Mus musculus: one gene and its partner. The protein of the gene in region 1 interacts with the protein of each later gene in a pairwise test. Links are inferred from orthologs where the notes say so. Each region holds a gene or a part of one and is shown in the gene's direction. Other genes may lie near its edges.

What was found.
Region 2: the proteins of CK137956 (region 1) and Akap9 interact in binary tests that used the Homo sapiens proteins (3 or more experiments, as listed by UniProt). The two-hybrid records come from large-scale screens. The link is inferred for Mus musculus from reciprocal best matches to the Homo sapiens genes C1orf94 and AKAP9.

Annotation. Positions count from the first base shown.
Region 1 is NC_000070.6:127,967,902-127,972,315, reverse strand, and holds the start of CK137956 (uncharacterized protein C1orf94 homolog), read left to right. Parts: upstream 1-1,474; 5' UTR 1,475-1,481; coding exon 1,482-1,795; intron 1,796-4,414.
Region 2 is NC_000071.6:3,926,649-3,931,089, forward strand, and holds the start of Akap9 (A-kinase anchor protein 9), read left to right. Parts: upstream 1-1,537; 5' UTR 1,538-1,794; coding exon 1,795-1,842; intron 1,843-1,940; exon of another isoform or gene 1,941-4,441. UniProt on the Homo sapiens protein: Scaffolding protein that assembles several protein kinases and phosphatases on the centrosome and Golgi apparatus. Required to maintain the integrity of the Golgi apparatus. Required for microtubule nucleation at the cis-side of the Golgi apparatus.

The DNA of each region.
Region 1 (4,414 bases):
CCTCCCACACTGTTTTCCAGGGTGGGAAAATGTAACCATGGCTTTGGCTTTGGGGGACCAGGGAATACCTGGCAAGGTCAGGCTTTCTCAAAGGTGAAGCTTTTCTCTGGAGGGGGTGGGGGCGACTACCGATCCCTAGTAAAAGGTGTGATTTGTAACCCTACCTCTGCCTGCCTGGTGCTGGATCCAGCTTGGGAGCTAGCCATGGGCATGAAATCATGTCTAGTCCCGAGCTTCGCTTCTTGAACTCAGGACACAGCCATTTGTAACTTGGAGACTCAGTTTCCTCCCATCCTGTGCGCCGAATGAAAAGGAGTACGAGCTCGCGAGAGCGAACAAGATCAGGTTTGAAGCCAGCCCTCGGCCTTAGGTGTTCTCAGGGGATGGCAGTTAGGATTAAAGCCAGCGGACAAAGGGGCAGGGTCCCCCACTTCTAGACAACCTCTGAGGTTGTATGCAGTGGTGAAATGGAAATGAGATGGAAACTTCCTTCTAAGAGGAAGCTCCCTGGGGTTTTGCCAGTTGCACCCCGCCCCCACTCCACCTGCGGGTCTTAGGAGACGAACGCCCGGCCCGTGCCGCCCTCCCACGACTTCCCACGCACCCAGCCGTTGCGCTTGAACCCACTGAAAGAATCCCAGCTCTCGACGGCAGGAGTGTGGGAGCGACTGACACGCAAATCCGCTGACCCCGCCCGGGCCTGCCCTGCCCAATCGGAGCCCTTTTAAGGGTTGGGACCCTCTGCGGTGCGGGTCGCAGCTCTGCGCGGGGACACGACAAGTGTTTGCTGAGGACCTGGGCCAGGCCGACTGACTACTAGCACAGCACCGCATTGGAGATCTCTTTTTGGGGAGGCAGAGCAGCAGTAGCAGAGAGAGGGACAGAAGGGGGCAGTCGGGAGAGCTAAAGCCAGGACCTGCAGTGGTCGAGGGCCGTTAGCCCTCCGTGTACACCGAACCTTAGGGAAGGCAGGAGGAGACAGTCCCATGGCCCGCCCCCTCCCAGTCTAGTGTAGTGTCTGACCCTTATCCTGCCCTTCTGGTGGCTTGGCAGGCTAGAATGGGCTGATTCCCAGGCCCTGAAAGGAGTCCCAGGCCCTGAAAGGTGTCACAGGGGTGTCACAACTGGGGAGTGCTGGGTTTTGTGGGGAGAGCCAGTCCTCCCCTCCAGTCGTTCCCAGATGTCATTCTGCCCGCCCAGGCGCTTGGTTCCTGAGTTCCGGGGCATTCCACGGTTACTAAGTTACTGGTTTTTGTTGACTTTTAAATATTTTCTTCTACGGGAGAGGGGGAGGGGGGCAAAAGCCAGGAAAGAGCAAATAGAAACAAGTCAACTTAAGCCCCCCTCCCCAAAAGAAAGTTGCCCTCTACCCCTCATCCCTACCCCATCCAAAGGCCTCTGAAACCCATCCCTTGGCTGGAGCAACAGCCAGCCAGAACTGACTACTTCCCCGGCCCTGTCTTCAGCTCCCTTTCTGGTGAATGAGGGCTGGTGGACCACAGTCCCTTTGTCTCCCAGCCCTGGGTGGACAAAGGGGCTTCCGGAAAGAAAGAAAGAGGATGGCCAGCGGAAATGGGCTCCCTCCATCCTCAGCCCTCGTGGCCAAGCGTCCCTCCGCCCTGGGGCCATTCCCCAGATATGTCTGGATCCACCAGGACACACCCCAGGATAGCTTAGACAAGATTTGCCATGACATCTGGAAGCGAGTTCAGGGCTTGCCAGAATCCCTGCAGCCCAGGACCTCGCTGGAGAAGCACTCTGCTCCCGTGACCGCAGCTGTCAGCTTCCAAGAAGAGTGAGTAGTCCCCTGTTTGGTTGATAATCAAGAAAGGGAGAAAGGGGAAATGAAGTCTGACTTTGGGTTGAAATGCTCTGGCCCAGTGTTAAGCCCTGCACACATATCTCCTCCCCATCCCCATTTCTGTAATCTCGAGTCACTTTCGGTCGGAGGAGCTGGCCAAGGTCCTGAAGTTCCAGACGGGAGGAAAGAAACCATTCCTGGCAGCTTCTTTTTCAGCGCCTAAGGAGACATTTTTCATTCTAAAGACATACGTGGCTAAGATAAAGATCTGGGGTCTTTGCAGGAGCATTATTGCCAACCTAAGGGTTAGGTGACTCACTACTGCCCCCAGAGGCAGCTAGATGATCTTTAGCCCTTTCCCAAGAAAAGTCCAGGCATTGGCACAGATGATCCTGGTGGTTGGAAACCACATCTGGAATCCCCTAATACAGAGAGCAGCTGTCCCATTCAGCATCCACAGAGCTACTGCAAGAGCGCACATCAAAATATTTACTGGGAAGGCATTGACATATTCAGAGGACATAATAGAAAATTAAAGTGCGGAAGATGGCTGTAAATAGCCGGTTTCCCAAATGGGAAATCCCCTGCCTGTCGGGGAAACACAGAGCTAAGTGTTTCAGTACTAGGGAAAAGTTGAGGAGACAGCCATTGGAAAGGAGAGGAAGGAGCATAGAGGAAGACAGGATCTCATTAGGAAAAGGAGTGCATCAGCTGTGGTGATTAATGCCGCTGCTGAGTACTCTTCCAAGGCTCTGCATCTTCAAAGTGGGCTGCACGCATTAATTAATCCTCCCAGCATCCCTATGAAACAGGTATTAGTGTCCCCATTTTACAGATGGATTAAGTGTTAATAATTAAGTGCTAATTAAAGCCTAAGTGATAATTAAGTGTTGTCTGCCCTCAACACATGCTCCGACTCAGTTCATAGATGCTCTGCAGTGTGTGTGTGGGGGGGGGGGGGGCACATCATCCAGGCATTTATCAGCTGCCTCTGGTTTCAGGGCTCTCTAAGCATCACTGAGGTGGAAAGCAAAGTCGAGCTGATGCTCAGGTCTGCTCTTGCTGCAGCAGTCCCTTTGCAAGCGCCTTTGCTTGCTGCAGATGAAGGCGGAAGGCATGCTGCCTGCTCCTGCCTCCTCTGCCCTGTGCTCAGCAGGACCCGGCTCCGATGCAAATGGCCTCTCTACAGCCAGAATCCTGTGGCTAGTCTGCTCAGTGGCACTGGGCTCCTTTGCCCCGTTCACTGCCATCTGCTTTGGGACAGTGCCTTGGCACAGGGAACCTTGGGGCTACACTCAGCTCTCTCAGTGGCCAAGTAGCTGATTGTCCACTTTCTGGATCAAAGGTCAGCAGCAATTTCCAGTAGATAGCCCCTTCCCTGCCAGGTCACACCGAATTCATGGAGACAGACTCTACTTCCAGTCTGCACTTGGCCGGAAATTGACCTGGAATACCTCTGGCCGGTCGCTTCTCTCCATTTGGCTTTGAATTCCTCATCTGCAAATTAAGGATGATGCGCCCTGCCTTGTCCACCTCTGAGTTGATAACGAGGGCTGAATGTGATGGGAAACAAAGAAATGAAAGATGCATTATACAAACAAGGCTGCCTTAATGTGGAGTTCATCTAATTTGGGGGAGGGGAGGCTACTTAGTTGGCTTCATCTAGGGTTTTGGTGTTGTGCTCCACGATCCCAGGAGCCTTCAGAGAGCCTCCCTGGAGTCAAGTGGGCTCTTGGCTGGACAGTTCTCTTCTACACCTACACACACACACACACACACACACACACACACACACACACACACACATACACGCTCACACTTGCACTCGTTTCAGCCTGAGTTCTTTAGGTGTTTGTCAGCTTTATTAACTGGAGTTCTGAGTACAGTTGCACTTGGAAGAGTTCTGAGAGGAGATGTGGGAATCTGCTGACTTAGATGAATAGACCACATTCTAATTGTATCGCTATCCACCCAGTAGAACACAGTGAGTGGGCCAGAGAGCGAGCTAGCAGCTGCTTCTTGGAACGAAAGATAACCAGGTCCAGCCCAGTGCTGGCTTTAGAACCTGAGACTGTGATAACCAGGTCCAGCCCTGTGCTGGCTGTGAGATCGATCTGAGCTTTGGTTTCCTTGTCTGCTGAGTGGGGGTGAGGGTAGGGGTGGCTGGAGGTGGCAAATCAGGAGGACTGTTCTAGGGTCCTGCTGGTAAATAGGATTGATAAACTCATTCTAATGACAGCAGTTATAATTTCTGTAAACCCTGCAGTTTTTGCCTGAGGTAGTGAGAGTCCAAGTGTGTGTAGATATAAATTTCCATAATTACCAAACTGTACTGTTCTGGTTTTAACTGTTCCTCTCCCCCTCTTTAAATGAGACCCAACCTCGGTTATTTGTTTGTTTTCTTGAGATAGGCTCTCACTATGCAGCCCAGACTGTCCTGGAACTCATTATACATGCCAGGATGAGCTCAAACTTCCAGCCTCCCAGATCTTAAAATACTTTATTATAGAGGAGTAGGCTGAGATGTGAAGAAGTTTCTCTCTGGGGTCTGAGGTTCTATTCTTAAGAAAAGGTGGGGTTTCAGAAATATAGTACTGGACCAACTTGGCCCTG
Region 2 (4,441 bases), on another chromosome or scaffold:
ACAGGTACATATAATTGATATAAGTGATCTAAAGGGAAATGCAGAAATAATCTTGCAACATTTAGCAGATCACTAACATCTTTAGTTACTAAGATGGAACAGATTGCAACAAAGAGTTGACCTGCTGAGCCACTGAGAAAGGAGAGCCCATTAACAAACAGGAAGTCTGTCAGATATCCTGGGCTTGCTCCTCCTAGGCAATCAGAATCAACCGAGCATCACTTAACTCCAGGCAGTTTAGAACACTTCATTCTAGACCTGGAGCCACAAAGGGCTCCCGAGAAAAACACGCCTCTCTTAGATCAGCCTCTTTTACTTTCCTTTATTCTTATGATGAGGTGTCTGTTCTCACGTCCCCAATTCCAGCTGAGAAAATGGGGCAAATACACACTTGATTGTTTTAGGTTGGCACAATTATGTTTGAAATATAAGATTTCTAAATTACAGGTACTAGAAACATTTTTGGTGTCTGATAGAGCTAAGGTTTTTAGTCTCCCCCTTTCATATGTATATCCAGTTAACACTACTTCTATGATTAAACTAATATCTTTAGTTCTTACCTGCTAATTTTTCAGTCCAAACCTATGTTAAAACAAAGAAGAAAGGCTCAATCTGAGACACTAAAATGGTTCGTTCACTCCAGAAATGGATTTGAGGGGCAGGAGAGGGGAAAGAGGGAGTGAGGGAAGGGAAAGAAAGGATTGCCAGAGCAGGTGGGGGAGGAAAGATGTTAAGAATCGATTTATAAGCACGGCTCAATAAAATGTAACAAAGTTTATTGGGCATAATCTTTCACAGTAGCCATTTCAAGAAATAGAAAGGACAAAGGTTTGAGTGTTTTCACATTCCAGGAGCAGTCATAAATATTAGGCAGCTCGTCCAAGAACTCCAGGTAAAGTCAGAGAACCATAGCTGTTTTAAGGTCTTTAAAGTTCAAAGTTAACATAGTCCCTTTTGCTTGGAAAACCTTTTTCCAGCCCTTTACCTGAGGTAATGTCTACCTCAGAGGTGAAGGGGAGAGAGGTAAGCCAGGAGGGGTCATGGTGGGGTGGGGGGGATGGGAGGAGAGGGGGGCTGAGGTCAGGATGTAAAGTGAATAAATAACTAATGGGGGGCTGGAGGAGGGAAAGTTAGGGTAGACTGGCTTTGTTCCCAACTTAGATTCCGAATTCGAGTTCCTTAGGAACACAGTTGCCAAGGAGAAGGAAGCCCCTAGGAGTGTCTCAGCTTCACTCCAGAGAACAAAGAGTTGGGAGAAGGCTCTACCGTAGGCTGCTCTTCCAGCGCAAGGCGAAGGAGAAGACTATGGGTTGAGAGGGAACCTGTGGGGGAACTGAGGGAGGGATTTGGGGTGAAGGAAGGATCAGGCTTCCCCGGGTTGGAGGGGGGAGGTTCCGCCCTCGCCCTTTCCACTGCGGCTCCTTGTTGTGAGGCCGCGGTCGCTTTGGAATTGGAAATGCAGCGCGGCGTGTTCCGAGCACCGGGTCCCCGGAGCAGTGGGTGTCGGGCCGCCGGACCCTGACCCTCCCTCCGCCCCGGTCAAGCCGGGCGCGCACAAGCACCTGCCGGGCCACGCTCGCGGCTGCGCCGGCCGCCCGCCCGCCCGCTCCGCCCCGCCGGCCGCCGTGTGTTTACGTGGAGACGAAGATGGCGGCGGTGACCGCGGGGCCCGTGCAGGCCGGCACGAGTCGCCGGTGAGCGCCCAGCGTGTCCCGGGTGGCCACGGAGCTCTGTCCGCCTCTTTCTAAACAGATCTTTCCTCTCCACTGCGTCCCAGCCTACCCTGCAGACGCCATGGAGGACGAGGAGAGGCAAAGGAAGCTGGCAGCCGGCAAGGCGAAGGTAGGAGCGCGGCGGCCACGGGCCGCGTCGGGAGGCGGTGACCCGGGGCGGAGGCTGGGGGAGAGGCCGGGCCGCGGGGCCGGGGCCGGGGCTGGGGCTGGGGCTGGGGCCGGGGCCGGGGCTGCGGCTGGGGCTAGGGGGCTGCGGCTGGGGCTGAAGAGCCGCCCTCTCTTGCTGCTGCTGGAGACCTGATGACTGCACCGCTCGGCTTGGTTCCTTTCTCCCCGGTGCCACACAAAACCCCCTCTCACCCCGGCTGTTAACTGCTAAGGAATTGCTTCGCAGCCACCACCCTTTCACTTTCTGAAGGGAGTTCAGGGAGTCGGCCAGGCTTTGTGCTTTCCGGAGCAAGGGTTTAGGGTTTTCTTTATTCCGGGAACACCCCTGCGCTGACCATCAGCCTGCCTTCTTGAGGTGTCACGCTGGCACTCTTGGTGTGTGTGTGTGATTGGCCTGTGACAGCTGCCTCGGCAGTGTCTTGAGTGTGCCACAAGTGCCAGCTGTGAACTTGGCTGTAGGGGCGTTCTTTTTGTTTTTTGTTTTTTGTTTTTGTTTTTGCCGTTCTTTGTATATTCGTGCTTGAGGTCTTTGTCATGGCAGGCTCTTTTGTAATGTGTGGAATGGAACTTCGGGGCATCGAAAGGTTCCATAGACTAAAACACCTACAGAATTGCTGTTTTAGATAATGTATTTGTTATTATGTATTTGGTAAGTTTGATTTTGTGTGGGTATGCGGGTATGGCAAGTCATGTATAATCCAGACTTATATGTAGGCATCTTCCAGTGGGCTTACTAAATAATTTGACACTGTTATGAATGGAATAGAATGATTTCTTTGTAAAATTACCTGTTTGAGCTTACCTTTGGACCTCCTTGCTCCCAAAAATGAAGTTACCTTTAAGATATAGTGCCTTTTTTTAAGACCTTATTGTTACTGGGAATAATTAAGTTATATTTTAAGCTTATTGTACTTGTTAGTTTGGAACTGTGATATGGAAGTGTTGTAAGCTAAATAAACCCCTCTCCTCTCCAAATTGCTTTGGTCATGATGTTTCATCATAGCAATAGTAACCCTAACGAAGGCACCTACCTTTCTTTTTTCTTCTCTCACATCATTAACAAAGGAAGCAGGTCAGTAATGAGTGAAGGGCCCTACTGGAGAGAGACGTTGGTACATGCTCAGCATTAGTTTGTTAAAGGAGTGTGTGCAATAGCTAATCTTGTATTTCTAGAATATAGTTAGTTGGTTTCCCATAAGCATCCTCTGTGTAAGGTCAAGATTTGAATGTGTCTCTGTGGCATTCTATAAATGGAGGGAAAGCCCAGCTTAGCTTCCCATTGTGCACCCCAAGGGACTGACCGGGCTCAGAGCATTGAAGGAATTGGAGGTGTAGTGTGCAGTCTTCCTCTCTTGTTCTCCCACCCTTTCTTTCTTTAGCAGAATCTTAGACTATAGTCCAGGTGAGCCTAGAGATCAATGTGTAGTCCAGGCTGGCTGGCTTCAGACTCTAGGGCAATTCTGTGTTAACCTTCAGAGCGATGGAATTCTGTGTGTGAGCTACTGTGTCCAGATAAGGTAGATGTCTTATTGACTACTTCATAATTTCTACTCCCTTCCCTAAATATATTCTGTGCTAAATATGTGTGAGGGACTCCTGCTGAGCTTTGTCTGCCTTCACTAGACCTGTCTTAGGGTTAAGTTGCTGCCAATAGATACTGGATTTATCTTTAGAAGAGATTGTGAATGTGGTTTCTACACATGTCTCTTTGTCTTTCAAAATGCTGTCTTTGTGGGGTTGGGGAGATAGGTGGTCTATTCACTGTGTGAACTGCTTGCTGTACAGGCATGTACACCGGGGTTCATAGTTGTAGCGCCCACACAAAGCTGGACGGCTGGACATGGTGGCATGCATCTGTAATGCAGGGCTTGGGAGAAAGGGACAGACAGACCCGTGGGACGTCCTGTCCAGTCCTCTAGCCAAAACACCAAGCTTGAGTGTCATCTGGACACCCTGTCTCAAAACATACTATACAAGGTGGATGGTGACAAGGGACAGCAAATGTGTCCCTGCACATAATTCATAGCTCTGCCTTTGGGGATGCAGTCTCTCTCCTAAAATTACTTTATTTAAAATATTACTTTGTCATAGAATTGCACCTACTCTCCCCATGAGGGTTATACCCATGTGTCTTATAAGTAGTTCTGGTAATGTAACAAACAGACACTGAGATAGCCTATGAAGACAACATGAAGAAAATAGTTTTCTCAGTTACCTGAAGGAATGTTCTGCAGCCATTACGCTTGTAGAGCCTCAAATGAACATGGGTCATAAAGTGCACCTTGTGTTTTCAAAAGCACTACATGTGTCTTTCATCTGTATAAACATGCTGCCTCTAATTAGGAGTGAAAAAAAAAACCGTATTGTGAATATAATCAGTGACTGGGGGGTGTAGCTCTGTGGTGCAGTGCAGAGCCCTGGATCCAGCTGACTTCATAAAGTCCCGTTTTATGGCAGGAATTGAAAGTACAGATGTGATGATTGCCTCTGCTCTGTGGGTCTAAAGGCAGACACAGGGTAGTGAGTCAAGTGCGGGCGCT